Linked DNA regions of Elephas maximus indicus. The protein of the gene in region 4 interacts with the protein of the main gene of each other region in a biochemical or structural test. Links are inferred from orthologs where the notes say so. Each region holds a gene or a part of one and is shown on either strand. Other genes may lie near its edges. The genes, in order: IRF3, TRIM31, RNF5 and MAVS.

The links.
Region 1: the proteins of MAVS (region 4) and IRF3 form a complex in vitro, tested with the Homo sapiens proteins (2 studies listed by BioGRID). The link is inferred for Elephas maximus indicus from reciprocal best matches to the Homo sapiens genes MAVS and IRF3.
Region 2: of the proteins of MAVS (region 4) and TRIM31, one has a biochemical effect on the other in vitro, tested with the Homo sapiens proteins (2 studies listed by BioGRID). The link is inferred for Elephas maximus indicus from reciprocal best matches to the Homo sapiens genes MAVS and TRIM31.
Region 3: the proteins of MAVS (region 4) and RNF5 form a complex in vitro, tested with the Homo sapiens proteins (2 studies listed by BioGRID, with this or other methods). The link is inferred for Elephas maximus indicus from reciprocal best matches to the Homo sapiens genes MAVS and RNF5.

Annotation. Positions count from the first base shown.
Region 1 is NC_064829.1:100,112,767-100,120,490, reverse strand, and holds the start of IRF3 (interferon regulatory factor 3), read left to right. Parts: upstream 1-4,621; 5' UTR 4,622-4,873; intron 4,874-5,616; 5' UTR 5,617-5,624; coding exon 5,625-5,789; intron 5,790-6,590; coding exon 6,591-6,762; intron 6,763-6,846; coding exon 6,847-6,917; intron 6,918-7,721; coding exon 7,722-7,724. Other genes in the region: BCL2L12 (bcl-2-like protein 12), read right to left, coding at 953-1,240, 1,970-2,061, 2,443-2,529, 3,385-3,527, 3,737-3,851, 4,236-4,263.
Region 2 is NC_064819.1:89,764,181-89,771,489, forward strand, and holds the start of TRIM31 (E3 ubiquitin-protein ligase TRIM31), read right to left. Parts: upstream 3,007-7,309; coding exon 2,590-3,006; intron 1,962-2,589; coding exon 1,866-1,961; intron 1,082-1,865; coding exon 851-1,081; intron 1-850.
Region 3 is NC_064819.1:93,665,893-93,672,340, forward strand, and holds RNF5 (E3 ubiquitin-protein ligase RNF5), read left to right. Parts: upstream 1-3,942; 5' UTR 3,943-4,106; coding exon 4,107-4,246; intron 4,247-5,083; coding exon 5,084-5,102; intron 5,103-5,192; coding exon 5,193-5,305; intron 5,306-5,411; coding exon 5,412-5,466; intron 5,467-5,545; coding exon 5,546-5,663; intron 5,664-5,768; exon of another isoform or gene 5,769-5,769; coding exon 5,770-5,867; 3' UTR 5,868-5,882; downstream 5,883-6,448. UniProt on the Homo sapiens protein: Membrane-bound E3 ubiquitin-protein ligase that mediates ubiquitination of target proteins. May function together with E2 ubiquitin-conjugating enzymes UBE2D1/UBCH5A and UBE2D2/UBC4.
Region 4 is NC_064843.1:42,464,740-42,472,005, reverse strand, and holds the start of MAVS (mitochondrial antiviral-signaling protein), read right to left. Parts: upstream 3,081-7,266; 5' UTR 2,991-3,080; intron 1-2,990.

The DNA.
Region 1 (7,724 bases), on a different chromosome or scaffold from region 4:
AGGCTGTAATCTTTACAGAAGCAAACTGCCACATCTTTCTTCTACAAAGCAGCTGGTGGAGTCGAACCATCGACCTTTCGGTTAGCAGCCGAGTGCTTAACCACTGAGCCAATATATATATATTCCCTGACTTACGACTTATTAGAGTTATGATGAACCACACACACTTATGATTTTTTTTTTACGATTTGTGTATTTTTTTAACGTATGTCTGTATTATTTCTGTAATTTTATACGTAATGTTTCCAAACCCAAAGACAAAGATGAGATTTATAAAGATACTGATAATAAACAACGACCCGTTGCTGTCCAGTCAATTCCGACTCATAGCAACCCCCCGCATAGGACAGAGTAGAAAAGTGATAGCAGTGAAAACTAAAATAAAAAATGAAAAACAAAAAATGAGATATTCAGTTTTCCTCAGAACCGATTTACGATGAAGTCACAGAATGGAACCCTTCGTAAGTCAGGGACTACCTGTACATCTCACTGTTCTGTTTCTCTAGAGAGCCCTAAGGCTCACGGGGAAGGGGATTCAGGCACCACTGGGGAGACAGACTGTAATCGGATTAGTCCCATACACAAACGCCCACGGCAGGCCAGGCGCCCAGTACTTAGGAGAATGATCCTATTTTAATCCTTAGGACAACCCTTTGAGATAGGTACTACCACTTTCCCACTTGATGGATGTGGAAACTGAGACCCAGGGAGATGCAATCACTTGTTTTCGGGGCTCACAACCGGTTAGTGTATAGCGGTGTGGTTTAAGCCCTGGGTAGTGTCTGATCACTGCCCCATCAGGTACACAGTTGGTGCTCAATAAATACAGAATGAATGAATGAATGGTATAGCTGGGAAAACTCTGTCAGATCTGAAAGGATGCCTAAGAAGCCAACTCCCTCCCCACATTACAAATGGGTAAAGGGAGGCCCAGGAGACTTCAGCGGCTCACCCATCCTCCGTGGGCCTGGATCCAGGGTGAGAAGCTGTGCACGTGCTCTACGCTGAGTCCGGCCAGGGTGCCCCCTAGCCGGGCCACGCGCCGGGTCAGCTCCATGGCCAGGGCCAGGCGGGCCAGGGGCTCCGGGGAAGGCGGTGGGGGCCCAGGGCACGGTAACGAGGGGTGTGTGCGGCTGGGTCGAGGACTGGTCTCGCGGCTAGAGAACAGCTCAGCAAGGCGTGAGAAAGAGCCCGTGGAGAGACGGGCCAGCTTGCGGCGCAGGGCTGGGTCTGAGGCCAGCTGTGGGGCAGGGAAGGTAAGAGGTAGAGCTGCCCCAGTCACGTCCCTTTGCCCGTGCCCAGCCAATAGGAGGCTGGAGGAGTGGCCTTCTGGTCCTAGGGCAGCCTTGATGCTAACATTTTAAGCCACGCCCACCCCTTCCATCAGCCAATCACAAAGCAGCCCCTATAGCTCACTCCAACTACTCACAAGGAAGTGGTCCAGACCCTGAGATGGTAAGCCACGCCCCTACTGAGGCATTCAACAGCCAATCAGGGCCAAGCCCTTCTTTAGGGGCTCTCCAGACCCTAATTTTCTAGCCTCGCCCCCTGGGGATTTCCTGGCCAATCCGAGCCCTGGAGGCCAGGCTAGGTTCTAGTACAACCTCGCCCTCTTTAAGACACAATAGTACAGTGCCAGGCGCTTTGCCCAGACCTCCGAACCAATCAGATTCCAGGACACGAAAACAAGCTACGACCCCACCAATGCTCCATTTCCCTCACTTTCTAAGCCGTACTGTGGCCTTAGATTTTAGAGCTTCCCTCCAATTTCTCTCCTAGATCCTGTCTCTTATGGTCTCACCCCTGGAGTTAGGCCATGCCCCTCTACCAATGAGAGCCACTAACTTAAATTGTCCCCACCCTCGGCCCACCATACAGCCAATGCGAATGAAGATCCAGTTTCTGATCCCAGTGCCCAGATACCCCCTATTCCTATCTTCCTTGAGGAATGGAACAGCCCACTCATCACCTTCTGGTTGATAACTTCTGCCTCCTCCTCCAGCAAGACCACCAGCCTCCGCAGCAGGGCTTCTTTCTCAGTGGGTGGAGGGCCCTGTAACTCTGGGGGCAGAAGAGAATTCTGCTGGGAGCAGAACCCTGGCTACCCTCCTGTTGTTAGCTGCCATGGAGTCAGCTCTGAGACTTACGGTGACGCCATGCACGACACAGACTGATATGATCCATAGGGTTTTCACTAGCTGATTTTTTGAAGTAGATTGCCAGGCCTTTATTCCTAGTCCATCTTAGTCTGGGAGCTCTATGAAACTTGATCAGCATCACCACAACATACAAGCCCCCACTGACAGGTAAGTGGTGGCTGCATATGAGGTGCATGGGCCAGGAATCGAACTCAGGTCTCCCACATGGAAGAGGAAAATCCTACCACTGGCCCACCACTGCACTCCTAGCCCCATCCTTCTCCAGGGTCTCTCGGCACCTCACCTGGGCTAGGTGGTGATCTCAGTTGCTCTTGGACCAGCTCTTCAAGCCGCTGAGCCACCAGGGTGTAGAAGTCCAGAGTAGCTGGGCCTAGGGTGAAAGTCTGGAGTGAGAGGTCTCCAGGGTATCAGGGACTTAGGGATTCTCTCCTTCTCCAAATCATCTTGCCAGGTAGCAACATTTCCATTTTTAGGAAACTGAGGCCCAATGAACAAACTGGGTAGTAAAAGACCCCCAAACTCTTGTACCCCCAAACTCTGGACTTAGAATGTTAGGGCTGAACTGGATCTTGAAGATGATTCCATCTAAGGAAAGCAAACACATGGCATTCCAGCTATCACCCTAGCCCTTGTCCGTTTCAGGCATCACCAACTGACCACAGCACTCTTTTCCCCAGCTGTAAAATCCTTGTCAAGCTAGCATGCCTAGCGGCCATTACTAGTTTATCTAGCTTCACCTATGAGAGGAAACCTGTTTGTCATTCTTGATCAAGTCCAGTGACACCTCCCATTCCTACTTTGCTATTGGAGAAACAGAGATACAAGAAAGGGAAAGGATTTTCCCAGAGCCATGCACCCAAATAGCCAGGGAACAGCAATTGAAAAACAGCCCTCCTGCCTCTCTACTGGGAGTACTTATGGCCACAAAAGTCCTGGGGGCAGAGAAGCATGTATGGAAGGAGAGAGATAACAACTAAATATCAACTTGATATATAACTAGATAGAAAGGGACCACCCGCCCTCCCACAGTCAGCCCAGGAGATTGACAGAAATCTAATTTTATGGAGGGTGGGAGGGGAACAGAATAGAGAGAATTGGTGCTGGAGACCTCACACAGCTACCCTCTAGCTGAGTGGTGTTCAACTAGTTTCTTATCCTGTCTGTGCTTCAGCAATCAAGGCACCTGGCCCTGCTGGTTTTATGGGTGATCTGGGAAATCTCTTACCAGGTTCTGAACCATAGCAAGGGCGGAGGGGCAGGGAACAAGGCCGAGGGGACTCGGGGGGAACTGCTCCTTGACCCGGGGAGCAGGGAAGGCATCGACGAAGGCGGCTTAGGAAGTCTGTTGACTGCTCCTGGGTGGGACTCCTGGGGAGAAGGACCACAGAGAGTGACTCCAGAGGCCCCCTGCAAGCACTCTCTTCTTCCTCCCATTGAGGACTCCCTCCCTGCAACCCCAGGGACAGGGAACAAAGCCAGTAGAAGGGAGGAAAGGAGACAGACTGAGACCAAGAGCAAGTCAGAAAGGACCTAACCCCAAATGCTGGTCCCTGGGGGAGAAGGGCAACCCCTCTTACCTGGGTGGGGTTGTAACAGGGGACCCGGCAGCCTCACCCCGCCTAAGGAATGCCGCTAGGACCCTCAGTGTGTCCTCCCGAAGCCCCAACTCCTCCGAGCCTGCCATGGAGACACCTGCAAGAGAGGAGGCTGGGGGCTGGACTCCAGGGTCCAGAGGAAAGAGAAAGCTTGGAGCCCAAACTCTTTGTCTCTGAATGAGGAGGGGGCCAGGGGCTTGGACTTATGAGTCCCCAAGGGAGGAAGGGACTAAGGGCCTGGGTTCTGGGGGCCCAGGCTCCTGAGTTCCCTGAGGGAGAGGGGATCCAGGGCGAGGAGGGCACTGGGGACCAGACTCCCGGGTCTGAGAGAGGAGGTGGCTGGAGGCCAGGACTCCTGGGTCTGAGGGAGGAGGGGGCTAGAAGCCCTAGCTCCTGGGTCTGAGGGAAGACGGGCCTGGGGGCCCACAATCTGAAGAAGGCATATGCCAAGCTACTAAATCCTTAGAGGATCAAGGACTACCAATCCCATGAGTTTTTGTGGCACACATCCCCCTCGGTTTGCTCTTGTTCGCCGCTCAGCCTGCCGGGAGCTGTAGTTCCACTATGTGGCTCAGTCTGGACTCTTGGGGATCCGTGGGACGCTTGGGTTTCGGAGAAAAGAGGCTGGGGTGCCCGCTCTGGCTCCCGGTCTCTCCTCTTCTCTGCTTGCCCAGCCCACGCTAACACCTCACTCACCTGGCCCTGGGCCCCGCCTCCGTCACCTCCTCTACTGAACTTGTACAAACTTTTCTGCAAAAGTTAACTTCCCCGCGCCTGCGCACTGGGCTGGGTTGCTGCGTGCCGAGACGTAAAGGGGCGGGGCATTGTCCGCCCACATATTTGCATATGGAGCTCCCAGCATGCTTGTGCCCAGAAAGCCTTAAAAAGGCATGGGGGGCAGGGCTCTAGGCTGACGGAACCGCTCCTTTTGCCCTGGAGTTGGCACCCAAACAATGATAAAGTTGTTTTATTTCGAGACATCGATAGAAAGGAAAACGCCACCGCCCTAGAATTCAGCTGGCGGGAAAGGGGGGTGCACAGTTTCGAGTTCGAGAGGTACCCGAATCCTCGAAGACAGTGGTGGCCCCAGCATCCTGCGCGCTCCAACCCTCGAAATAGGTAAAGCGGAAGAGCTGGAGAGAGAGTTGGTGCCGTCTAGAAGTGAGGAAAGGGAGAAAAGTTTGGCCTGCACTGATAGTGACGAGGGTGGCTGTATATTCTAGAGAGAATGAGGCGAGGAGAGGGCTACACTGGCCGGCGTTGGAGGTCGGCAGAAGTCTATACCGCCAGGAGGAAGGGAGGAGTCTACACTGGGAGACCTGGGCGGGGAGGGGGGAGAAGTGTGTACTCTGCATCTGGGAGGGAGTACTCTTTAGAAAGTGGGGGTGTGCTTTGAAGGAGGGAGCCTTTCGGTTGGGGAGAACTGTGGATGGAGGCCTACACTGAAATGGGGACGTGGGTTCTTCTCTGGCTGAACTGTAGAGAGGGACCTCCACTGGGGTAACTGCGGGAGGTAGGGGTCTACACAGGAGTAGCATCTGCACTAAAATAACGAGGAAGGGAGGGCTCTACCCTGGAAGTGGGGGAGGGAGGAGTTTGCAGTGGAAGAGAGAAGGGCCTGCACTGGCGGAATTTAGGGGGTAGATGGTCTGCACTGAAGAAGCTGGAAAGGGAGGGGGTCCTTACTCAAGTGGGGAGCTGCTCTGGGGGGATGGGAGGAGGAGGTCTGTGGTACAGAGAAGGTAGTTTTGCACCCCCGGAACCTGCGGGTGAGGGGCTTGCGCCGTGGCCTTGGAGGGGGAGGCGCGGATGAGCCGGAGAGACCTCCCGCGCCCAGGAACTGCCTGCCCCTCTGTCCACAGGCCGGAGCATGGCGACCCAAAAGCCGCGGATTCTGCCCTGGCTCATTTCGCTGCTGGACAGGGGGCAGCTGGAGGGCGTGGCCTGGGTGGACGCGAACCGCACGCGCTTCCGCATCCCTTGGAAGCACCGCCTGCGGCAGGATACGCAGCAGGAAGACTTCCGCATCTTCCAGGTGCCTTTCTGAGCGGCTTGCCTCGCGGAAAGGAGTCCGAGGGGGCGGGCCCGGGGCGGGGTTAGCACGCGTGGAGCTGGCCCGAGTGCGTGCTTGTGGGTGGAGGTGGGCGGAGTTAGAGCGGGAGGGGGCAGGCTTAGCAGGACAGGTGGCCTGACAGCAAGTAGTGGGCTAAGTAAGAATCAGTGTTCTCATTTAAGAAATACAAAGATGAAAGCGGGTTTAGCATGCGAGGGCGAGGCCTGCAAAAAGTTAGAAACCTGGGGGTCGAGGAGGGCGGAGTTATATCGATGGAGGGCCCGGGCGGTCCGAACTGATGGCAGGTAATGGGGAGGGTTGGAACTCCCAGGTTCTGCGAATAGAACCAGAAAGGCGGGATTAGAACGCTGAGGAAAAGCCTCCTGGAGGCTGGGGGCAGGCTCTTGGTTGCAGAATTCTGGGGGCAGGTCTTGGAACTTTGGAGACGAGGCTCAGAGTCCCAAAGCTGGTTTAATTACCATCAAGTTAGGGTACACTGGTGGTGTATAGGTAGAGTTAGAGTGCGGGGAGGGGGGTTATTACAGAGGGTGCCCTGGGGCAGGTGGTGGGTGGATTTAAACACCCAGTAGAACCTAGAAGGATGGGTTAGAAAGCAAAAGTTTTTGAATGCTAGGAGCAGATTTTGGGGCACGAAGAATCCGAGAGTTTGGTAGTAGAGCCTTGTTGAGGTAGCACATGCTGGGGAGACAGTTAAGTGTTATGTCCTCTGGGGCAGGATCGAAATCTTCTCCCCTCCCCTGGCTCCCCTATCCGACCCCCCAGGCCTGGGCCGAGGTCAGCGGAGCCTACAATCCAGAGAAAGATAAACCAGACCCCCCTACCTGGAAGAGGAATTTTCGGTCCGCCCTGAACCGGAAGGAGGTGTTGCGTGTAGCCGAGGACCGGAGCAAGGACCCCCTCGACCCGCACAAGATCTATGAGTTTGTAACTCCAGGTGTGCAAGGAGTGCCTTCGTATGGAAGGCTGGGATCTGGTGGGGTCCCATCACCCTTTCTCAGCTCACTACCTTTTTTGATAGGAGTTAGGGACTTTCCTGAGTTGGACACCTCTCCGGACACCAATAACAGAGGCAGTACCTCTGATACTCAGGTAAAAATGTGCCCCCACCCTTTTGCCCCACCCCCTCCTCTCTGTCCCCATCAGCCTGTTTTGGCCTCCCTTTTCCTGCGTGGTACAGCCTCTCCTCCCTCCGGCCGCATTATCTCCCCTCCACTCTTGTCCCCCACATGACCCATGGCCAACCTTCCCCTTCCCTGCTCACACCCCTCCCATGGCTCTTCAGTGTCTCAGGAGAAAAGTCAGAGTTTTCCCTAGGCCTCAAGGCCCTAACACACCTTACCAGGGTTTCAAAGCTTTCTCGCTTGGCAGGGTGCCCACCAGCTCTTGGGAACCCAAACCCCCCCCCCTCACCCAGGATCTTGCTGATGCCTGTGCCAGGGAAGGTCCCTTCTGAGATTCTATTCATTCTCCCATGCCCAGGTCTTGCTAGATCCATGGGTTGGAATTAGCTCCTCCTCCCCCAAGGCCATCATTGTTGCGTGCCATCGAGTTGACTCCAACTCACAGCAACTCTGGATGACAGAGCAGAACTGCCCCCCTAGGGTTTCCTGGGCTGTAATCTGTACCAGAGCAGATCAACAGGTCTTTCTCCCACAGAGCTGCTAGGTGGCTTAACCAACCTTTCTGTTCGCAGCCAAGCACTTACCCATTTGTGCCACCACGGCCAAGGCCATTGTAGTGCCTGGCATATATATGTCTTGCTGTCTGTGCCCATGGCTGTCTCCACGATCAGACTGGGAGCGCTTTGAGGGCCAGGCTCAGTCCCTATGTTGCTGAGCACAGGGCCTGCTCTGGGAACAGCTGTTGAAATGCCCGACTCCTTTTCTTCTCCAGGAA
Region 2 (7,309 bases), on a different chromosome or scaffold from region 4:
TCTTGCACTGATGGGAGTAGGAGGTGAATTCAGGAGGGATCTCCGCTTATTTTGAGCATCAACTAGACACATGCTGTCCGATATGGCAGCCAGGCCACATGTGGCTACTGAGCACTTGAAATGTAGCTAGTACTATGAGGAACTGAGTTTTTTAACTTATTGAATTTTGACAAATTTAAATTTAAAAACTGAAGGAGTGTAAAATACTTTTTCCATCAAACACAACTTTATTGATTTGGTAGGACTACGTTTTACTTCAGCCATTGAAAATTTAGCAGTTGAATTGAGATGGTGCTGAGGTGTAAAATGTGTGCCAGATTTCAAAACTCAGTATAAAAAATGTAAAATATCTCATCAATACTTTTAAGTATTGTTGTTGATTTAAATCATAATACTTCGGATATAGTGGGTTATATGAAATATATTATTAAAATTAATTTCACCTGTTTCTTTTTATCTCTTTCAATGTGGCTACTAGAAAAAAAAAGTTCAATTACATATGTGGCTTGCAATATATTTCTAAATTACATATGTGACTAGCATTGTATTTGTATTGGACAGTGCTGTGCCAGAGGTAAAATGATTGGGATGATCTCAGTATTACTAATTGAAAGATTGGTGGTTCAAACCCAATCAGAGATGCCTAGGATCTGCTTCCAAAAGGTCACAGCCTTCAAAACCCTGTGGACCACAGTTCTACTCTACACATATGGGGTTGCCATGAGTCAGAATCAACTCGACAGCAACTAACAAAAACAACAAGCAGTATTCTGCCAGGTGGTCACGCTCTGACCTGTGACTAGGGATGGGCTGGTCCCTCTCTGCAGCTTCTCCCCCAAGGGATTCTCACCGAGAGCATCTCACGGGGTGACATTTGCTGCTTGGCCTTCAGGAAATCAACAAGCCTATTGAGAGAGTTCAGCTGTGCCTCAGTGGAAGTGCCAAAGAAGTGACCCCCGTTCTCTCCCTCCTGAGCCAGCCAGTCCAGTCGTAACAGGAGAAACTTCTCCTCTTCCTCTAGAACCTGACGCAGGTGCTTGAATTCTCTGATGATCCTTTGTTTTTCATGCTCCACCTGGGCCTGGGGGCGAGGAGAATGGACACTCAGAAGACAGGATGGCCTCAGAGGCTCTCACCCATCTCATCCAATTTGCAATTTTATTGTTTACACTTACGTTGTCAATGTAGAACAATGTTCCATGGCAGATTTGGAAAAAGAAAGTTGAGGAGAACTAACTTATTTTAGCATTTACTATGAGCTCAGTTTTAGGGTAACTTATTTAATGTTTAATCATTTTTGCCTTCAAGGGCCTGAGTCTTTAAAATTATCTTGCATTTTCAATTTATAATCTCCTTTCACACACACACTCACCCACCCACACACACACACACACACACAAAACAGGTAAAGAGGTTGGGTGGAGTTACACTGTCTTCATTTTTTAACTGGGGAGTCAGTCTCTAGGTAAAGACAGTAGGTAAGAGGCAGAAGTAGGTATTTAAATTGGTATTTCTGATGCTAACACCAGCCCGTTTTCCCTACATCACTATCTCCAGGTGGAGGAGACTGGAGTGTTTGACCTACTCTAATAACGCAAGGCCAGGTGCAAAGGTGCTATCGCAGACAAGCAAATGTTGTGGTAGAGGAGAAGGCATGAACACATCCTAAACCATGATGCCTCAAGTCTTTCTGTACCTCCAGCCTGCCCATCCTACACTCTGCCCCACTCTGAGCCACTCTGTTTGTCACTGGGTCTTTTTCTGGGTGGTGAGTGTAATAAGAGATTCTAGGGGCTTGAAAGAGAAGATGTATCTGCTTCCAAGGACCGTTGGACAGAGAGACCCACACCTGAGCATTTTCTTACCTTGAAGACATCGATCTTCCGTTCGCCTTGTGCTTTCACCTCTACTATCATCTTCTCCTTTTGCTGCAAGTCCTTGAGTTGTAATTGAATTAGTCCCTGTGGGGAAAGGACAATTTTCCTAAGCTGTGCCTGGGAGCTCTCTTGGCCTCACAAAACCTCCTGATCTCTCGGGAAGGTGGGTGAGACTGGGGGGAGCTGGGAGCTGGTTATGATAGGGAGGAAGAAATCTGGGGCCTCAGTGACCTACAGGAGAAGAATGTGTCATCTGTGAATAATTACAATTAATATCTGAATGGTGCCTTGGGGTTAATAAAGGATTTCCCTCATTTGTTCTATCAGACTGCCTTATAAAGGTAAATTCTGTTCTGTTGGCCCCATTTGAAAGCTGAGACAGGCTCAGAGAAGTAAAGTGACTCCTTGAATGTCTTATGGAAAACTCAGGAGCTTGGACTTGAGCCCGAACCTTCTGATTCAAAATTTTTTGCCTTTTCCATTTTTCATTATGGTTTGACTTCAAAACACTTCAGACTTTTGAACTAAATGGTATGCCAGAGATGATGAGATCCCTAGAGTGCCCACCCTGCCTGACTCTGAACTGCCCACTCAAGTGTATGGGGCGGGGGTGGTAGTAGTGCAAACCCAGAGGAAAGAAGTAACCATTCCCATGTCCTCACCGAGCTCCTGGTCTGATGGGCGAGACAGGAAAGGGACCCAAAATGCTTACCTGATACTTTGGGGCAGCTTCTTCTATCAAGTTGGCTTTGTGGGATTTGTGGTCCTGGGAGTCACGACACACTGTACAGAGAAACTTCCCATCATGCTCACAGAAGTAATGGATCTTCTCTTGGTGCTTCTGACATCTTGGTTCTTCCCTTTCTGGTTGTGCCTCAAGGGGACTCATAGCTTGGATTTTCTCTACCAGATTCATCAACAGCCAGTTGGGCCTCAGCGTGTCCTTCCTCACAGATTTCTTGCAAAGGGGACATTTGAGTAAACCGTCTGATGGATCCTGTGTCCAACTGATACAGCTGAGGCAGAAACTGTGCCCGCAGTCGATGGTGACAGCGTCCTGCAGAATATCTATGCAGATGGGGCAGATCACTTCCTCCTGCAGGTTACTGACAAACTGTGGACTGGCCATGATGAAGCAGGAGGGCTTCTTCTGGTCTGTACGAAGTCGTACCAGGTCTGCAGGAAGGTTTCTCTGAGCTGCGGGGAGATGGGTTGTGGACACTGGTTTGAGCAAGGGAGAAGGAAGGAGAGGAGAAGGGAGGGGGGGGAAAGGGGGATAAAAGAGTAAACGAATAAAAAAAGAGTAAGAATTAGAATGTAGAGAATATTTTAAAGAGAGAGAACAGATGGGCCAATCTACCTTACTACTTCTTGAGATCAAATGGATATATACTGCTTATCAGGTTGGGCAATTTGTTCTGAACCTTGAACTAATTAAAGATACAAGGCAGTTAACTGATTCCTAAAAGACCATGGTACCGAAGTCCACAGGACAGAAGACTTCCTGTCAGTTTCAGCAGGGCGTGGAGAGGCTGGGTGAGGCCTTTGGAGGTCACACATGTTGGGACCGTTCAGCTGGTTCACTAGCCATGGCTTTGGACATCTCTTGTCTGCAGAGCCCAGATGTTGGGAGAGCACATGGAAAGGAAAAACCAGTTGCTGGAGAGTGGATTCTGGCTCGTGGTAACCCAACATGTGTCAGAGTAGAACTGTGCCCCCTCAGGGTTTCCAGTGGCTGATTTTCAGAAGTAGATCACAGGCCTTTCTTCTGAGGCATCTCTGGGTGGACTCAAGCCGCCAACCTTTCAGTTAGCAGATAAATGTGTTCACCATTTGCACCACCTAGGGACTCCATATGGAGAGGAGGGAAGGATTCTTTACCTCAGTCAGGTACTTTGGCTGCTCACTTTGAAGAGTTTTCTGAAACTAGGGAAGATAGCCACCTCAGGGAATTTCTAGTCACAAGGAAAAAGCCACCATCCCTCTCATGGGGAGATTCCTGGTCCAGTGGGAAAACAAGAAATTTATTGCAAGTCCATTCTCTTGATTTGTACATTGTTCTTGACCCTAATGGATCCTTACTTCCGTGTAGCACCTGAACCAGTCTGTCCTTTGTTGTCGTTTCCTGTATGTCATAAATATGCTGGTGTCTCCATGCCCATTCTTTGTTTTCACTAGAAAAGGACATTATCTTTGGGAAAGTGGAGGGTCGGTGAAAATGAGGGAAACCCTGAATGAGATGGATTGACACAATAGCCACAACGATGGACTCAAACCTATCAACTGTCATGGGGATGGCATAGGACCCAGCAACATTTCGTTCTGTTATACTTAAGGTCATCATGAGTCAGAGCTAACTCCATAGCAACAACAATAACAATGTTTAATGTATCTGTATTTCTTCCTGATTCTTGTTGCTTCTCTGATCCCTGAATTGCCTTGGCCTATGCCTTCTGTCCTGACTAGGAAATTTATTAACTAGCATCATCTGTACTCCCTTCTGTAACTCAACACAATTGTGTCCTAACCTTTCCTCCTTCCCACTTGTCTTCATCTGGATTCCGACTTCTAACCAACCTCTGTTCTCTCCAGCATCTGCCCTCTGTCCTTACCAGGAAGTAACCATTAATTTCATTGGATATCAATATTAGGTCAAACAGAGATTGCAGATGATTATAAGATTATAGCCAGATACATTCTGATTTGTCTGGGACAGCCCCTGGTTTCATTGTCCTGGAGTAATTATTAATACCTTCTCCGTTCATTCTCAAAATGTTCAGTTCACACAATAAATTATATCGTTGTCCTAATTATAGCAATTGCTGAAAGTCAAAGAATTTCTGAAAGTCTATTCCTCCAGGCTTTTCTGTTTGTTTGCTTTGAGGATGAATTAAAGCATCTTAACATTTGTATAATGATTTACTGTTTATACACATCCTAAACTGCTGGCCCCTGGAAGCAGAATTTAACTTTTGGACAGGTTTTGTTTGTCAGGCATGGTGACTGAAAAAATAACCATAATTCTGATGCCTTTAGAGAGGAGATCTATTTTCCCCACCACCCCCTAGCTCCTTAGATCATGTCAGTTAGGCCCATGGGAGTATTGGACCTTATGATCCTGCTTTACATATTTCTTCTGCATGTATTCTGAGTGTGTTACATCGCAAACGTAATTCTCACCGCTAAGTCCAATGTATCAGTAATCATCAGCAATATAAATATATTAAGATAGCCTTTAAAAGACAGAGATTATGAGATTATAGCTCATATATATACATATATAGCAAAACCCATTGCCGACGAGTCATTCCAACTTGTAGGGACATTATAGGGCAGAGTACAACTGCCCTGTAGGGTTTCCAAGAAGAAGCTGGTGAATTTTAACTGCCAAGCTTTTGGTGCCACCAGGGCCCCGCATATGTATGTAAAAAAAAAAAAAAGGTTTTTTTTTTTTTTTTAAATTATGTCACTGTAATTCAAAGGTGTCCATTCTTCTATCTTCCTTATTCATTGTCCAGCTTTCCCATGCATATGAGGTGATAGAAAATACCATGACTTGGATCAGGCACACCTTAGTCCTCAAAGTGTCATCTTTGCTTTATAAAACTTTAAAGAGGTCTTTTGCAGCATATGTATCTTTTTAAAATTTAGCTGTATGCTGATTATAAGAAACAAAGTTAAAATGAAATGAAGTCTAGAAATAAAGGGATGATAAAAGACGTAGGAAAATATTAACTCACATCTGCCCAACAACAGGAATGTCAGACAAAATAAAATTTAAGATAAAAAGCATGAAATAAAGAGGGGCAGTGAGTTTATGTTCATGGGGGAGGAACAACTCAGAAAATGAGGGTGAGAATGGCTGCACAATTCAGAGAATGTAATCAACGCCACTGAATTGTACATGTAGAAATTGTTGAATCAGCCTATGTTCTTCTGTATAGATTCTCAACAAAAACAACAAAAGTAAAATAATTCATTAAACAAATAAAGACGAACACTCCATGTTGTCAAAAAGGAAAAATCTTCAAGAAGACATGACGATCATGAACTTCGTGGACCTCCCTAAAAACATAGCCTCAAATGACATAAAGCAAAAACCAAGACAAGTACAAGTGAAATGGACAAATCCACAATATGGAGAGATTTTTATCACCTCTTTTAGAAATTGAAAGATGACACAGAGACAGAATTTTTAAAGATATAGAAAATTTGAGCAACATAACTTGATCAGATATTTTTACATAGGATTTTATACTCAACAAAGAGATAACGTGTTGTTTTCCAGTGTGCATGGATCACTCAAAGAACTGATTACCCTCTAGGACATAAAGAAGTCTCGACAAAAAGTATTTCTATGATGCAGATCATATTCTCTATAATTTAAATAAAAATGAGCAAAAACACAAAAAAGATAATTCGAACAAAAACTCACTCATATGTTTGCAAACTAAAACATAAGCTCTTAATACATGGCTTAAAGTGGAAATTATGATGGAAATTACGAAATATTCAGTAGTGAGTGACAAAGGCAATCCTCTGTATCACAATTTGTGGGATTAATTAAGGTGGTACTGGGAGGGACATTTATAAGTTAACGTGAAATTTCTAAAAAAAATAAAATGCTAAATATAAATGAATTAAGAGTTTAAAATAAAGAACTGGAAAAAGGTAACTCAAAGGAAGTAAAAAACCAAAACCAAACCCCGTGCCGTTAAGTTGATTCCGACTCATAGCAACCCTATAGGACAGAGTAGAACTGCCCCATAGAGTTTCCAAGGAGTGCCTGGCAGACTGGAACTGCAGACCCTTTGGTTAGCAGCCATAGCACTTAACCACTATGCCACCAGGGTTTCCAAAGGAAGTAAAAGGAAAGAAATTAAAAGCAGTTATTTTTTTATTATTAACAAAATTTATTTTATTTTATTTTTTTATTGTGCTTTAAGTGAAAGTTTACAAATCAAGCCAGTCTCCCATACAAAAATTTATATACACCTTGCTATGTACTCCTACTTGCTCTCCCTCAATGAGATAGCGCACTCCTCTTGTTAAAAAAATTAAAAAAAAAAAGATCGATAAAACCAAAACTTTGTTCTTTGAAAATATGAATACTAATTACTAATTTTTTAATACTAATAATATGGACATTAACTTTAGCAAGACTTGTCAAGAAAAAAGACACAAATGAAGCATATTTAGATTAAAAATGGCAAAATAGCTATTCACAGTGTTTGCAAAAAGTTACAAGAAGACACAATAAACAACTTCATACCAATTAATTTGAAAATATATATAAAAGAAAAATGTCAAAAGATGGGGAAAGATCAAACATAAAAGAAGACCTAAACAAATTTTTAAAATATGCCATGTCAATGGAGAGGAAAAGTCAATGTAGTAAATATAATAATTCCCATCCATTCATAAATCCTATG
Region 3 (6,448 bases), on a different chromosome or scaffold from region 4:
TGAAGATGAAAAATGTCAGCTCACACGCAAGAGAAACAGAACAGGGGCCTGCATGTCACAGTGGAAAAGAACATGCTGCTGCCATCGAATGTATGCCAACAGTGCAAGAGTGGGGTGACTGACGATATTCACAAATGCAGACGATGTGGGGGTCGCAGCAGCACCAATGAGTCCCATGGACACAGACAGTACACAGCCACTGTCGAGATAATGTGAATAAAGAGACACAGGCCAGGGAGGTCAGCCAAGTAAGAAATATGGGATGGTTCTTCGGGGACTGGAGACCCAGTTACCTTTCTCCTAATACTTTCCACTTAATATGTGATATTGAGTCACTGATCCTCTCAGGAGAGATGTCCAAGGATTGAGAAACACACGGGAGTGCCAAATGGGTTAAGAAACAAACGGCTCACAAAATATACTGCCAATAAAACTATTAAATAAATAGTATCTGTAACCAGAAGCACACACACTATCTCATTCTACGTAAGTGTGTCCTGAGGAGAAACACGCACGTGCATGGTGTGAAAACATGCACAGCAAACAGGCCAATCCAATCAACCTGAGTGTGCACTAGTCAGCTAAACCATGGGATTCCACGCATGAAGATTCTGGCATGGACCATGGACATGTGAGTCAAGACAAAATAAGGTATAACCTTTATGCGCTAAAGTAGACATGCAAAAACAAAAACATGCCAGTACCATGAAACCGTACAGAAGGTGCGATATATGAAAACACACATACAAGGGGTAGGTACTTCGACATGTCAAAACTGGATGGGAGACATGGGACCCAAAATATGAGAATGAATAATTGCTGAGGGAAAATAACACATCACTTCTCCACAGCGCATGGACAACTGAGGCACATGCAAGCCATTAAGCATGTCAAAGGCACACAGGCTCAATGCAGAAAACACAGCCCACACAAGGCATCTGTGTCAGTAAACGTTAGCACAGTGTTGAAGGCCACTGTGAAACAAGAAGGCCTGTGCCTGGAGGGAAAAGAGAGAGGTGTCTGAGGACATTCCTAGGAAGCAAATTCTGCTGGGGGGAAGGATGGCAATAACTGCCTTCTTCCCTCCCCCTCCCCCTTCAAGAGTCATGTGGGGCCAAAAACCAGGAAGAGGTTTTGGGGAAGGTGTAGGGAATGCCCTTTTCAGAATTTCCTGCCGACACCCCCAGTCCTCAATTGACATGGTCTTCATCTCTCCTCCCTCCCCTGTCTGTTCCACCCTTCCTCCCTGTCAGGCCCCCTCTCCTCTCCCCAGTCGGCCCTCCCAGACCCAATCTCTCCCCATCCCCTCATCCACATCCCTTTCAGCACCCTCCTCCCTCCTCCTCCCGTCCCTTTCCCGCCCCCACCTCAGTGGGGTGGGGGGCCTGGAGGGCTGGCCCCCTCCCCAGCCAGGCTGCGGCAGCGGTGGTGGCGGCTGGCTGTGTCTCTGCCTCTGTCGGGGTGTCGGTGCCAAGGGGGCGACGGGATTGGGGGGTGTCCTAGCCCCGGCCGATGGAGGGGAGGTGGTAGTGGGAGGCTGGGCCCATAGCGGTACGAATGATGGGGTGTTGTACCCCAAGCTCCCTCCCTGCTGTCTCTCTCTAAGGGCTGGGGCTGCTGCTGCTGCTATTCCCCCCCACCCCTCCCGAACGCCCGCTGGCTTCCGGGGCTGGCCAGGAAGTAGGGGAGGTGATGGGCGAGCTGTTTCGCCAATCATTCCCAGGGGCCCTCCTCTCATCCTCCAGCCTCCCCTTGCTAGCTCCTCCCCACAAGAGCTCAGCTGGGCTCAGCCCCTGCCCCTCTCTGGGTCCAGGTGCTTGTCTTTTTTTCTCCGTCCTCCTTTCAGCACGCACAGCTCTGGATCTCTTGGCGCTGTGTTCCTTCCTCAGCTCATTCCTTCTCCTCATTCTCCATCAGCTCTCCACTTGCCACTTTTACTTGGTTGGTCTCTTTCTGGTTTCTCCCTTTCTCCTTAACTCCCATATCTGTTGCTTATTCTCTCCAGCTCCACCTCATCTCTAAGACCCCCTTTCCTGTCCTCGATTCCGTTTCAAACATGCCAGGCGTTGAGTTCTTTACCTCTTTTGTCTCCAGGGTTCCATCTCCCCTCACCTCAGCCTCCGGCCCTATGGTGTGGTCTGGTCTTTTTGCCCCTCCCCCCATTATCTCCCAGCAGACCAGTTCCCTCCCCCACCCTCTCTGGACTTAAAGCTAAGGAATATTCTCTAGCCCTCTTCTCTCCCCTTTCCCTTCCACGCTGTTTTATGAAGTGATTTTTCTTTACTAGTTCCTTCCTTCCTACCAGCCTCATTACTCAAGCTGAGCCAACCCTGCCCACCACAACATAGAATGTGATTGCATCTTTTCTTCCAATGTGTTCCTTGAAAGAAAAAAAAAAAGTGGGTAAGAATGCTGATTGCTCTGGGGTGAGCAAGCCTCCTTATCTAGCTCCCTCTCCAACCCTGCTCCCCTCTTCCCCATACCCCAGGGCTCCCGGTATCCCTTTACCAGGATCATTCCATCACTCCTCCTTCCTAGTCTCCACCTCTCCCTCTTAATTCCTTTTTCCTATACGACCTCAGGCCTCCAGAACCCTCACCTACCGTCTGCTAGGCATTTCCCAACTTCTCACCTCACCCCACTCGATTCACGTGGGACCTTTTATCAGGGTGTTGCTGAACAGCTTTCAGCCAGTGTTTCCCTTCAGCCAGTGTCTGCCTCCCGCCCCCAGACACACCTTTTCCTTGAATGAGTTTACACGCACTGGGGATGCAGATGTAAAGAACATTGGCAGTGGGAGGACTGTTACCTAGTTCTCCTCCTTGGGCCAGAGTTACGGTCACTGACTGTAGGAAAGCCCCAAACTCTTAGGAAAGACCTAAGCTCTGAAGCAGCTTGCCCAAATACTAGGGCTCCAGGCCAGGAGGAAGACCCCAGTTCTACGGGACTTAAGGAAGGGCGGGCCTAACCCCATTCCGCCGCGGGTCACCTAAAAGGGGCGGGCCTTGCCATCTACGCCCACTCACAAAGGAGTGGAGCCAGACGTTTTCTGCTTTTAGGTTTAAAATGGAGTCGAAGTCAACTCTATTGTATCCTGTGTGTCACATTAAAAAGGGGATGGCCTTTAGCTCAGCACTGGTCTGTAAATCACCTAAAGAGGGGCAAGCTGAACCGCCCAGCCGAGGGAGACTGGTTAACACCAACACCGCAGATCGATGCTCCCACCATCCAAACCCAGTTCTGCTCCCTTCTTCACTAAAAGGGAGGAGCGGACCCAAATTCTGCTCTCTACGTAGGAGGCCGCAGCCATTTTGAACCCTGCAACCCCAGTATCTGCCCTCTTTTCCGAGGTCTTCGCCGTCTTTCCAGATCTCGGCCAATCAGGAGCGAAGGAATCGGCCCAATCAGCCGAGAGAGAGAGCGAGAGAGAGAGAGAGAAAGAGAGTGTGTCCATAGCCGGAGGACCCGGATGAAGCCGTACCGAGGTTCAACTCAAGCGCAGCCAATTGTGGAGCAGTCACCATGGAGACAAGATAGAGGTGAAGGGGTGGGACCAGAGAAGGCTCAACCCTCTCAGGATTGGCCCGGCCCGGCCCATCACGTGCTAAACATGCGCATTTTACTTAGTCTCCATTTTCTGGCTAAGTTCTAACCAATCAATTGCTTTTGAGTCACAAATTCGAAAGTCCAATAGGAACCCAGACTTTGTCGGAAAGAGGAAGTGAAGGAAAGAAAGTCCCAAGCCAATTGCTTTTGGCCTTTGGTTATGACAGGCAGCTACTCAGACGAATAAAACTCTCCCTGGCTGAGGGACTGGCTTATCAAGTTGTTACCAATCCCATGGCTCTGCAGGCTGACTCCCACCATACCAACCAATAGTCACTGTGCAAAGGCAGGACCACGCAAGCCTCTTTCGGCACATACCGTTTATACCAATTATTGCCTTTGAACCCTACGTGATTGGCAGACACTCAGACCAATACTGGTTAAAAACCCTCAATGCCGCCCCAACTATCGTGGGCGGGAGGCGGTTTCTCGTTTGTCGGAGTGTGTGTTTGTGTGTTTGTGTGTACTGAGGGGTACCCGGGGGTGAAATAGAATCGGCAATGGCAGCAGCGGAGGAGGAGGACGGGGGCCCCGAAGGGCCAAATCGTGAGCGGGGCGGGGGGGGCGCGACCTTCGAATGTAATATATGTTTGGAGACTGCTCGGGAAGCTGTGGTCAGTGTGTGTGGCCACCTATACTGGTGAGAACTGGGAAGGGGGGGCGGGAGGAGGGGCTCACGTCTGTACTGAGGAGGCTGGCGGCGGGGGACCATAAATCATACAGATAATTAGAGGGCACATCCCCATAGGTGAGGCACGCGGAGGGGACTTATGTCTCTTCAGGTATGTGTCGGTGGGAGGGTCTCGTTTGTAAAGACAGACCCGTGGAAAGCAGAGGTCATGGAAATTAGAAGCTGAGGCGTGGGGTTATGTTAAGAGGGTGTGGGACGGGAGGGACATAGTAAGTGCTTACGGTGGTCTTAGCCGTACAGGTGGAGACAGATGATATCCAAAGGTTAGGGGAGGCATGCGTTAGCTGACTGTGGGAGGCGCAGGGAACTGTAGGATCACATTCAGGTGAGATCTGGGAGAGGTTGGTATGACAAATCTGGGGATAAGGGCACTGTGGAAGGGCAGCCTTGAGAGATTAAAGGGTCCTAGAAATACTTTATTGGACCTGAAAGTGAGTGGAAAGGAGTAAGGAGGATATATGTTAGTAAAAGGGGTTAGGCTTGGAAGTGATAGGGCTGGGTTGAAGATTAACTGGAAATTAAGTCTACAAGCAGACGGGTTGATAATGTATGTGGGTGTGTGTTGGGGAAAAGAGGATTGAGTGTGTTGAAGATGGTTGGAGCTTTAAGCATTGGAAGACCAGAGAAGCAGGAAGGCCAGGTTGGCTGTTGTAGAGGCTGCCGAAAAGATGTAAAGCAACAGCACAGATACCTGGAAGAGGAGTGAGATGGGTATCTATGAAGTCTGGGTCTGTGTCTCTTTTCTATAGTTAGCTTGACCTTTTTTTTTTTCTTCCCCCCATCCAGTTGGCCCTGTCTTCATCAGGTGTGTACTCAGAGGAGATGAAGAGGGAGATGGGGAGGCCTGAGGAGCTTGAAGACTGTACTGGAAACCAATTCATTTTTTTCTCCCCAGTGGCTGGAGACACGACCTGATCGGCAAGAGTGCCCAGTGTGTAAAGCTGGAATCAGCAGAGAGAAGGTTGTCCCACTTTATGGGCGAGGGAGCCAGAAGCCCCAGGATCCCAGGTGAGAGAGGAGGTGGTATTGAGGGGAAAGTCAGAGGCTTTTTGCCTGGGAAGGGTGTGTGAAAGAGGAGAATATTCCTGTCGATACTCCTTTTCCTCTTCCTCAGATTGAAGACTCCACCCCGCCCCCAGGGCCAGCGACCCGCTCCAGAAAGCAGAGGGGTGAGTCTTCTTGTCCTACTGTGTTTGTTCCTTGCCCAAGACTTGCCTGGTTCCCCTCTGACTTTCTTCACCTTCCTAGGGATTCCAGCCATTTGGTGATATTGGGGGCTTTCACTTCTCATTTGGTGTTGGTGCTTTTCCCTTTGGCTTTTTCACCACCGTCTTCAATACCCATGAGCCTTTCCGTCGAGGTGCAGGTAAGAGCCATCGCTCAGCTCCTACTGGGGAGCCCTCGGAATCCCCTCAAGTCCTCTCCCTGCCCTGGAGTGGGTGCGTCCTCTGCAGCTCTTCTCTCTCCCACAGGTGTGGATCTAGGACAGGGCCACTCGGCCTCCAGCTGGCAGGATTCCCTCTTCCTGTTTCTTGCCATCTTTTTCTTTATCTGGCTGCTAAGTATTTGAGCTGTGTCTCCTTCCTGCCCACCTCCAGCCAGAGAAGAATCAGTATTGGGGGTCCCTCGTGACCCTCCTTACTCCTGGACCTCCCTTCCCCAACCCTTCCACTTCTGTTTGCTAAGGCCCAACCAGCCACTCTCGAGGAGGGCATGGGGAGAAGTGATATCTGGACACAGGATGGGAGAGCCTTCTGCTCTGAACTGCTCGCTCGTCTTAACTCCCGGCCCTGAGGGAGGAGGACAGACTGAAGAGAGTGTCGGTTTTTCTTCTCCTAACCCTTTGTTTTCCTCTAGATTTCTAGATTTGATGTTGAAAGGTGGGCAAGTTTCCCTCTGACTCTCTCTCATTCCCCACTTGTTGATTTAATTTAATTTTTCTCTCCCCAGTGTCTAATGTGGGTTCTGACTCTAAGTGCTACCTCCCACTCACAACCTCTTTATTACAAATTCAATAAAAAAAAAGGTGAAAAGTATATGTGGGATCTATCCCAACGTCTTCCTTCCCTCCACTTTTCAGGACAGGAGCAGCTTCTCCCAGCTTGAGTAGATGTTTGAGGTGGTGTGGGACAGCATGGGGGTGAGCCCCTC
Region 4 (7,266 bases):
AAAAATCAGATCTAAAAGGTGTACAGCCCATTTCTGCCTTGCTGCCTGGTCAGTGTTGAAGATGGCTCTGGCTGCCCTCATCATCCCCAGGTCTACATCTGCCTGAGCCCCTACCTGCTATGCCTGTGAGTGTACTGGCTCTCTTCCCAGCACCAAGGCCCTCAGGCTAATAGCAAGAGCTCCACCCAGAAGTGCTGCTTCTTTGGGGTATTATTAAGGGGAAAAAAAAAAAAAAGAGGCTCAAGATAATAATAATTAGATCATACTAGAGATTAAGAAAATGAGGTACCAAGAATCTAGAGGACTTTCTAGATAGTGGAAGAGCAAAGAGCTGAGGTCTTTAGGCTCCAGGATCAGGTTCTTCCCAGGACGTAACTGCAAGCCCATCATTAAAGCTTGCTACACACATGTTCTTATGGTAGGAGACCACTTTCACTGTTTTAAACTCACTGTGTGTCCTGGGGGCAAATTACCAGGCTTTTCCTCACCCCAAAAATGACTCTGGGAGGTTGTTTTATCAATATAGTAGTAGTTCAGCCTATAAGCTTAAAATTTTAAAAGTACCTCAAATACAAACAATAGCTGCTGTTTCCTTTACGTAGCACTTACCACAATTTGTTATTGTAGATGTGTGTGTTTACTGGTTTCTTACCTGCCTCCCCCATCAGGGAGTGCTACAGGAAATAAGAGACAAGACCTCTGCTATCACCCAATTTCTATTCTATTGGGGTGGAACAGATAGTAGATCAGTAACACATATGTAAATAAGAATTCCAGGTAGGAATAAGAACTGTAAGCAAAATAAAGCAGGGTAATGAGCTAGAGCCCCTGGAGAAAAGGGTGCTACTTGAACCGACTGGTCAAGCCTCTCTGAAGAGGTGACATCTGAGCTGAGCCCTTCTCAGCTGTGGGAAGATTGGTATTCCAGAAACAGGGCGCAGTGACTGCAAATGCCCAAAGATGGGAACAGCTTGGCATGTCTGATGACTAGAAAGCAGGCCAGTGGGGCCGAAGTTTAATAAGCAGGGGCAAGGGGCAGAGATGGAGGTCCGGGAGGTTGGCAGGGACCACTCATGTAGGGTGCTGCAGGAAAGAGTTTTGGGTTTTATTCAGAGTGAAACCGGGAGCCATTGGAGAGTTCTGAGCAGGGAAGGGAGAGGATCTGATTTATATTAAGAGCTCTCTGGCTGTGAATGAGGACTGTAGGGCAGCCAGGATGGAAGCAGAGAGACATGGCAGGAGCCACAGTAGGGGAGAGATGATGAGTATGGCCAGGGTGGTAACCATGGAGTTGGCAAGGGGTAGTTGGATTCCTGCCATTTTCTGGATGTAGGATGTGGGAGAAAGAGAAGAATCAAGGAGGATACCCTGGGGGCTGAGTGGGCAGATGGTGGTGTTTACAGGATAGATAGGGTGGGGGTGGGGTGGGGGTGGGGGGGCAGTAGCACGGAGTTTTGAACAAGTGAAGCTTGAGATGCTAAAGGAGGCACAAGCGAGAAGGCCAGGCTGGAGTAGAAACAAGTGCCAATAGAACTAGTAGATACCAGGCTTGGGCGAGACCTCTAGCCTTACAGAGAATACCTAAAAGCTGCTGAGGCGGCAAGCCCTAGGCACACGAGAAAAGGGGCAGTAGTCCTGGCTACAATCTATGTGCACTTTGCTTTGCCAACCACCAGGTGCTTCAATCCTGGTGGAATGTATGAGCACTAAGGACAGAAGGTCGGGAGGATGAGGGAGGTGGAGATGGTGGGGGATCCTCTGAGCCTTCGGAAGATGAGCAAAGAACAACTCTGTGGTGCATAATAGACCCTTCTTCTCTCCCCATGGCACTCAGGCCTCAGCCCTTAAGGAACTGAGCCTTTAAAGCGGACCTAGGATGGAATCGATGTGGTCCAAAAAGACAGAAAGCCCACTTTTGTTCACATTTATTGAGGCAAGCACTTTCTAAGGTTCTTTCATTTGAACCCATGTCTTGCTGCCTCATTGCAGCTCACTGTTCAGCCTGTTGGTAAAGGACCCGTTGCAGCAAGTGAGACCCACAACTTCCTGCCTTCAAGCCCGGGGAGGGACCAATGAGGTAAGGGGTGGGAGGAGAGGGGTTAAGGGGAGTCACCAGGTGGGAGACGCGCATGGAAGGATGCCCCCTTCTACTCTGTCCTATTGGGTCGCTATGAATCCACTCGATGACATCGGGTTTGGTTTTTTGGTTTTTAGTGAGAAATGTAAATCTTTCAGACAGGCTGGGTGCCTTCTAATCCTGACCTCCACGGCGTGGTTCCCCACTCGCTGACTGTCCTTCCGAATGTTTATAAGGCTTTCACAGCATCCATACAGAGAACGCAGTTTTTCTTTTGTTTTTCCAATGTTTTTCTGGCACCTTCTTCCAATCTCAGTGACCCAGGGGGCAGCGGCAGCGTGTTCCTGGCGCCGCGATGAGTTTCCGATCTCAGTGCGCCAGAGGCTCCGAGCGCGTTCCGGAAAAAAATACTCAGTGGACAGGGAAGGGTGAGGCCTCACAGCCTCGGCTCGGATTCCTGGACCAGACCCAAGTCCGGGGAGGGCGGCGAGGCTGTTCTTCCAGCAGGTGTCACCGCCGAGAACTGCCGAGACCCAAGGTAAGACGGCAGCTCTCGACCCCCAAGCGCCGCCGCCGCCGCTACAGGTCGCCGCGCCCGAGCCTGGACTCACCTGGGGTCACCCTGGGCCTAAGGCGGCAGGAGGAGCTGGGCGGCCGGTGCCCGTCTCCTTCCCGCCCAACCTCCCCTCCAGCCGTAGCGGACGCCCCCCCCAATTGTCCCTCCGGCTCTCCGCGAACCCCGTGTGTCGCAGGACCCCTTTCTCTCGACCCCGCGGGCCCTGTGCCCCTGCTCGCCCGTGCCCAGTGCACCCCGGCGGACTCCCACTCGGTTCCTGCGGCCGCGGCCCTCCTCCGCGAAGGCGCCCGTACGCTCTGGGCCACGAGAACCAGGCGCCTTGGAAGGCGGTCTTACCTCGGGCAGCCACGACCCGGTGACCTGCGGACCGCCGGGACAACTAGAACCCTGTAGTCAGGAAGGAAGGGCGCAGGGGCGGGGACAGAGCGGCTGGCCATTGCCCCGACAGCGCGGGGCGGGGACTTGGCTCGGAAAGAAGGAAACGTCGGGCTCCCGGGTCGCACGACCGACCTAGTCCAGCATGGGGCGGGGCGTGGGGGGGATTGTTTTCTTCCCTTGCTCATCTCGAGAAACTTCGAGGGGAAATCCGGGCTCCAGGCCCGCCATCGGCCTCGGATTCTTTGCTGTTAAGTCATCGCGCTTTCTATGTGAAGCCCCAGTTTCTCCCCTTCTGTGCTCTGAGAGGTGAGAGTTTTATTTGGTTCTTTCCTGGGTCCCCAGGGCCTGGCACACAGTTGGTGCTCGATAAATGTCGGAGGACAATCAAAGGTCACAAAGGCGCACATGCCCAGCGAGGCAGCACGCTGGGTGTGGGGATGGTCGGCCTGGTAGGTGGTCCCAAATCACCTGTCTGTAGCTTTTAAAAAATGAGACAAAGGAGGGCACAGCTCCTCTGTGATATTTTTGCCACGGTGATAACCTGAAGCTAATCATGAGGGAACATCAAACCCAAAATGAGGGACATTTTACAGCTGTGCCACCCAATATAGTGGCCACTAGCTACATCTAGCAATTTTAGTGAAAATTAAATAAAATTTAAAATTCAGTTTCTCAGCCATATTCCAAATGCTATTTTCACGTGGCTGATGGCTGTCTTATTGGACAGCACATTTCTATCATCTCAGGAAGTGGCAGTTAAAAAAAGGTTCTATTCGAGGGCACTAATGTAGGGAATAACTTTAAAATGTCAAGGTCATGAAAGACAAGGACAGACTGAGGAAATGTTACTGATGAAAGAAGTCTAAAAAGACACTACAGCTAAATGCAATGTGGGACCCTGTGTTGGATCCTGACACAGAGTAAGAACATCAGTGGGACACCTGAGAAATCCAAATAAGGCTTTTGGGTTGATTAATAATATTGTATCAGTGTTAATTTCCTGGTTTTGATTGGTGTACTGTGGTTATGTAAGATGGACATATTTGTATTATTTTTGCAACTGTTTTGCGAGTTTGAAATTATTTCAAAATAAAAAAGCATCTTTTGACCCTATCTGGACATTTTTATTATTTTATCCTTTATTGTTTCTTGCATTTTACTCTATTTCATGAGCAGAATTCATTGACCATTGGCCATGTATTCACAGAAGAACCAGTCCAGAACATGATCTATGCCCTAGGCCACCTCCCTGTGAAGGCCTCAGACACTCCCACCCCTAGAGCTCCCCCACAGCAGTGGCTAGTGTTCCAAAGAGGGCTGTGGCCCACACGTGATGACTCAGCAACCACCAGCTCACCTTTCCCCCTTGACAGAGGTCAGGCCCAAAGATAATGCCAGAGGGCCCCAAAAAAAGTACATGTTGTCATGTCTGAATCCCTTCAGAGAGCCCTCCCAAGACTGAAAAACAAAAGATAATCCTGACCTTTACAACCTCATTTCAAATACTTTTTAACTGTTATTCTTTAAACTTTATTTTTTCACACTGTCAATGTATTTACAAAAGAAAAAATATATATATATATGCTTGTACAGCTAATGTGGGAAAAACAGAAATAATGAAGAAAAACAAAATCCATACTCATAATGCCACCACCCAGGGGTAACTCCTGGTGACACCTGGTGTCTTTTCTTCTATTACTTCCTTTTCTGCAATGCAGGGTCTCCAAGTCCTCTGGCTTCCGGGGGTAACCCTTTCCATGACTTCTATCAGATCAAGTCATGATCTAGGCCATAACAGGATCTGGGATGAGGCTTCCTCACTTCTCAGGGGTCTCAGAAGAAGGAAAGCGTTCTGCCCAGGTCAGTTCCTGGGTCAGTCCCCACTGCAGCCAGCTCCCCGAGGCCTGTCAATGTGGCCTCCTCATCAGACCTCGAGGCATTTTGTTGCTCCCCATATACCACTCAGGGGCTGCCACCCAGCCCTTCCTTCTTGAAATCACTGACACAGGCTGTTTGGCATTAGACATTAATTGAGGACTCGGGGTGGAATACAGGGAAATGAGAACATGGGCAGGACACAAAGTTAGATGTCTATGATCCGAAAATTCACTGGCTTCTCCCAATGCAGAGGACTTCTCCCTGGCTACATCCTCCCATGGTCCAGTTTCCCACCCCATCGCTGGTGCTCTGCTTGCTCTCAGCCCCTCTTGTAGTCTCTTGCCCTGTGTCCCCACCCCAGAATTAGGAGTTCAGTTTTTTGCCGCCTTATTTACATTCAGTAAAATACATAAATCTTAAGCGTATGTTGTTGTTAGGTGCCATCTTAGTTACCCAGTGCTGCTATAACAGAAATACCAAAGTGGATGGCTTTAACAAAGAGAAATTTATTTTTTCACAGTCTGGGTTAGCAGCCGTAGCACTTAACCACCAGGGTTTCCGTCTAGTAGACTAGAAGTCCAAATTCAGGGCATCGGCTCTAGGGGAAGGCTTTCTCTCTCTGTTGGCTCTGGAGGAAGGTCCTTCTCATCAGCCTTCCCCTGGCCTAGGAGCTTTCTCCACACAGGAACCCGGGGTCCAAAGGACGTGCTCTGCTCCCGGCACTGCTTCCTTGGTGGTATGAGGTTCTCCTGCCTCTCTGTTTATTTCTCTCTTTTATAGCTCACAAGAGATTGGTTCAAGATACAATCCAATCTCGTAGATTGAGTCCTGTCTCATTAGCATAACTGCCACCTATCCGACCTCATTAATATCATAGAGGTCGGATTTACGACACATAGGAAAATCACATCAGATAACAAAATGGTGGACAATCACACAATACTGAGAATCATGGCCTAGCCAAACTGGTATACATATTTTGGGGGGACACAATTCACTCCATGACAGGTGCTGTTGGTTGGTTCTGACTCTAAGCGACCCCATGTGCAACAGAACAAAACACTGCCAGGTCCTGCATCATCCTCAGAATTGTTGCTATGTTTGAGTCCATTGTTGCAGCCACTGTGTCAATCCATATCACTGAGGGTTTTCTTTTTTGCTGACCTACTTTACCAAGCATGATGTCCTTCCCCAGGGACTGATCCCTCCTGATAACATGTCTAAAATGTGTGAGATGAAGTCTCACCATCCTTGCTTTTAAGGAGCATTCTGGCTGTACTTCTTCTGGCAGTCCATGATATACTCAATATTCTTCACCAACACCATAATTCAAAGGCATCAATTCTTCTTTGGTCTTCCTTCTTCCTTGTCCAGCTTTCGCATGCATATGAAGCAATCGAAAATATCATGGCTTGAGTCAGGCACACTTTAGTCCTCAAAGTGACATCTTTGCTTTTCAACACTTTAAAGAGGTCTTTTGCAGCAGATTTGTCTAATGCATTATGTCTATTGGTTTCTCGACTGCTGCTTCCATGGGTGTTGATTGTGGATCCAAGTAAAATGAAATCCTTGACTACTTCAATCTTTTCTCCATTTTTCATGATGTTGCTTATTAATCCCGTTGTGAGGATTTTTGTTTTCTATATGTTGAGGTATAATCCACACTGAAGGCTATAGTCTTTGATCTTCATCAGTAAGTGCTTCAAGTCCTCTGCACTTTCAGCAAGCAAGGTTGTGTCATCTGCATATAGCAGGTTAACAAGTCTTTCTCCAATCCTGATGCTGCATTCTTCATACTGTCCAGCTTCTTGGATTATTTACTCAGCATAGGGATTGAATAAGTATGATGAAAGGATACAACTCTGACACACACCTTTCCTGATTTTAAACCACAGCATATCACCTTGTTCTGTTCCTGCATCTACGTAAATACCTGTCTAACCAGCACCCAGATCAAGATATAGAATATTTCCATCTCCCCAGAAAGCCTTCCTGTTTCTTCCCACCCCCCCGCCCCCCGCCCCCCACCAGATAAGTGTTATTCTGGCTCTGTCACCATAGTTTGGTTTGTCTGTTATTGAACTTACCATATTTTTAGCAAATAACAGGCCCACACATATAACACACATAGCACACATAGGAGAATAATGCATGAGGGAGTTGCGTGGTTGGCAAAAACATATAATGCATGCGTTATTTGTATAAAATGTGATAATCATAAATATGATTCCCATACAGTACATATTGGCTTTTTTAGGTATCATTTTTTAATTGTGGTAAAATATACAGTACATGTTGTTTGGTGTTTGGAGTCTTTCACTCAACATGTTTTTGGCATTCATCTAGTGTGTATCAG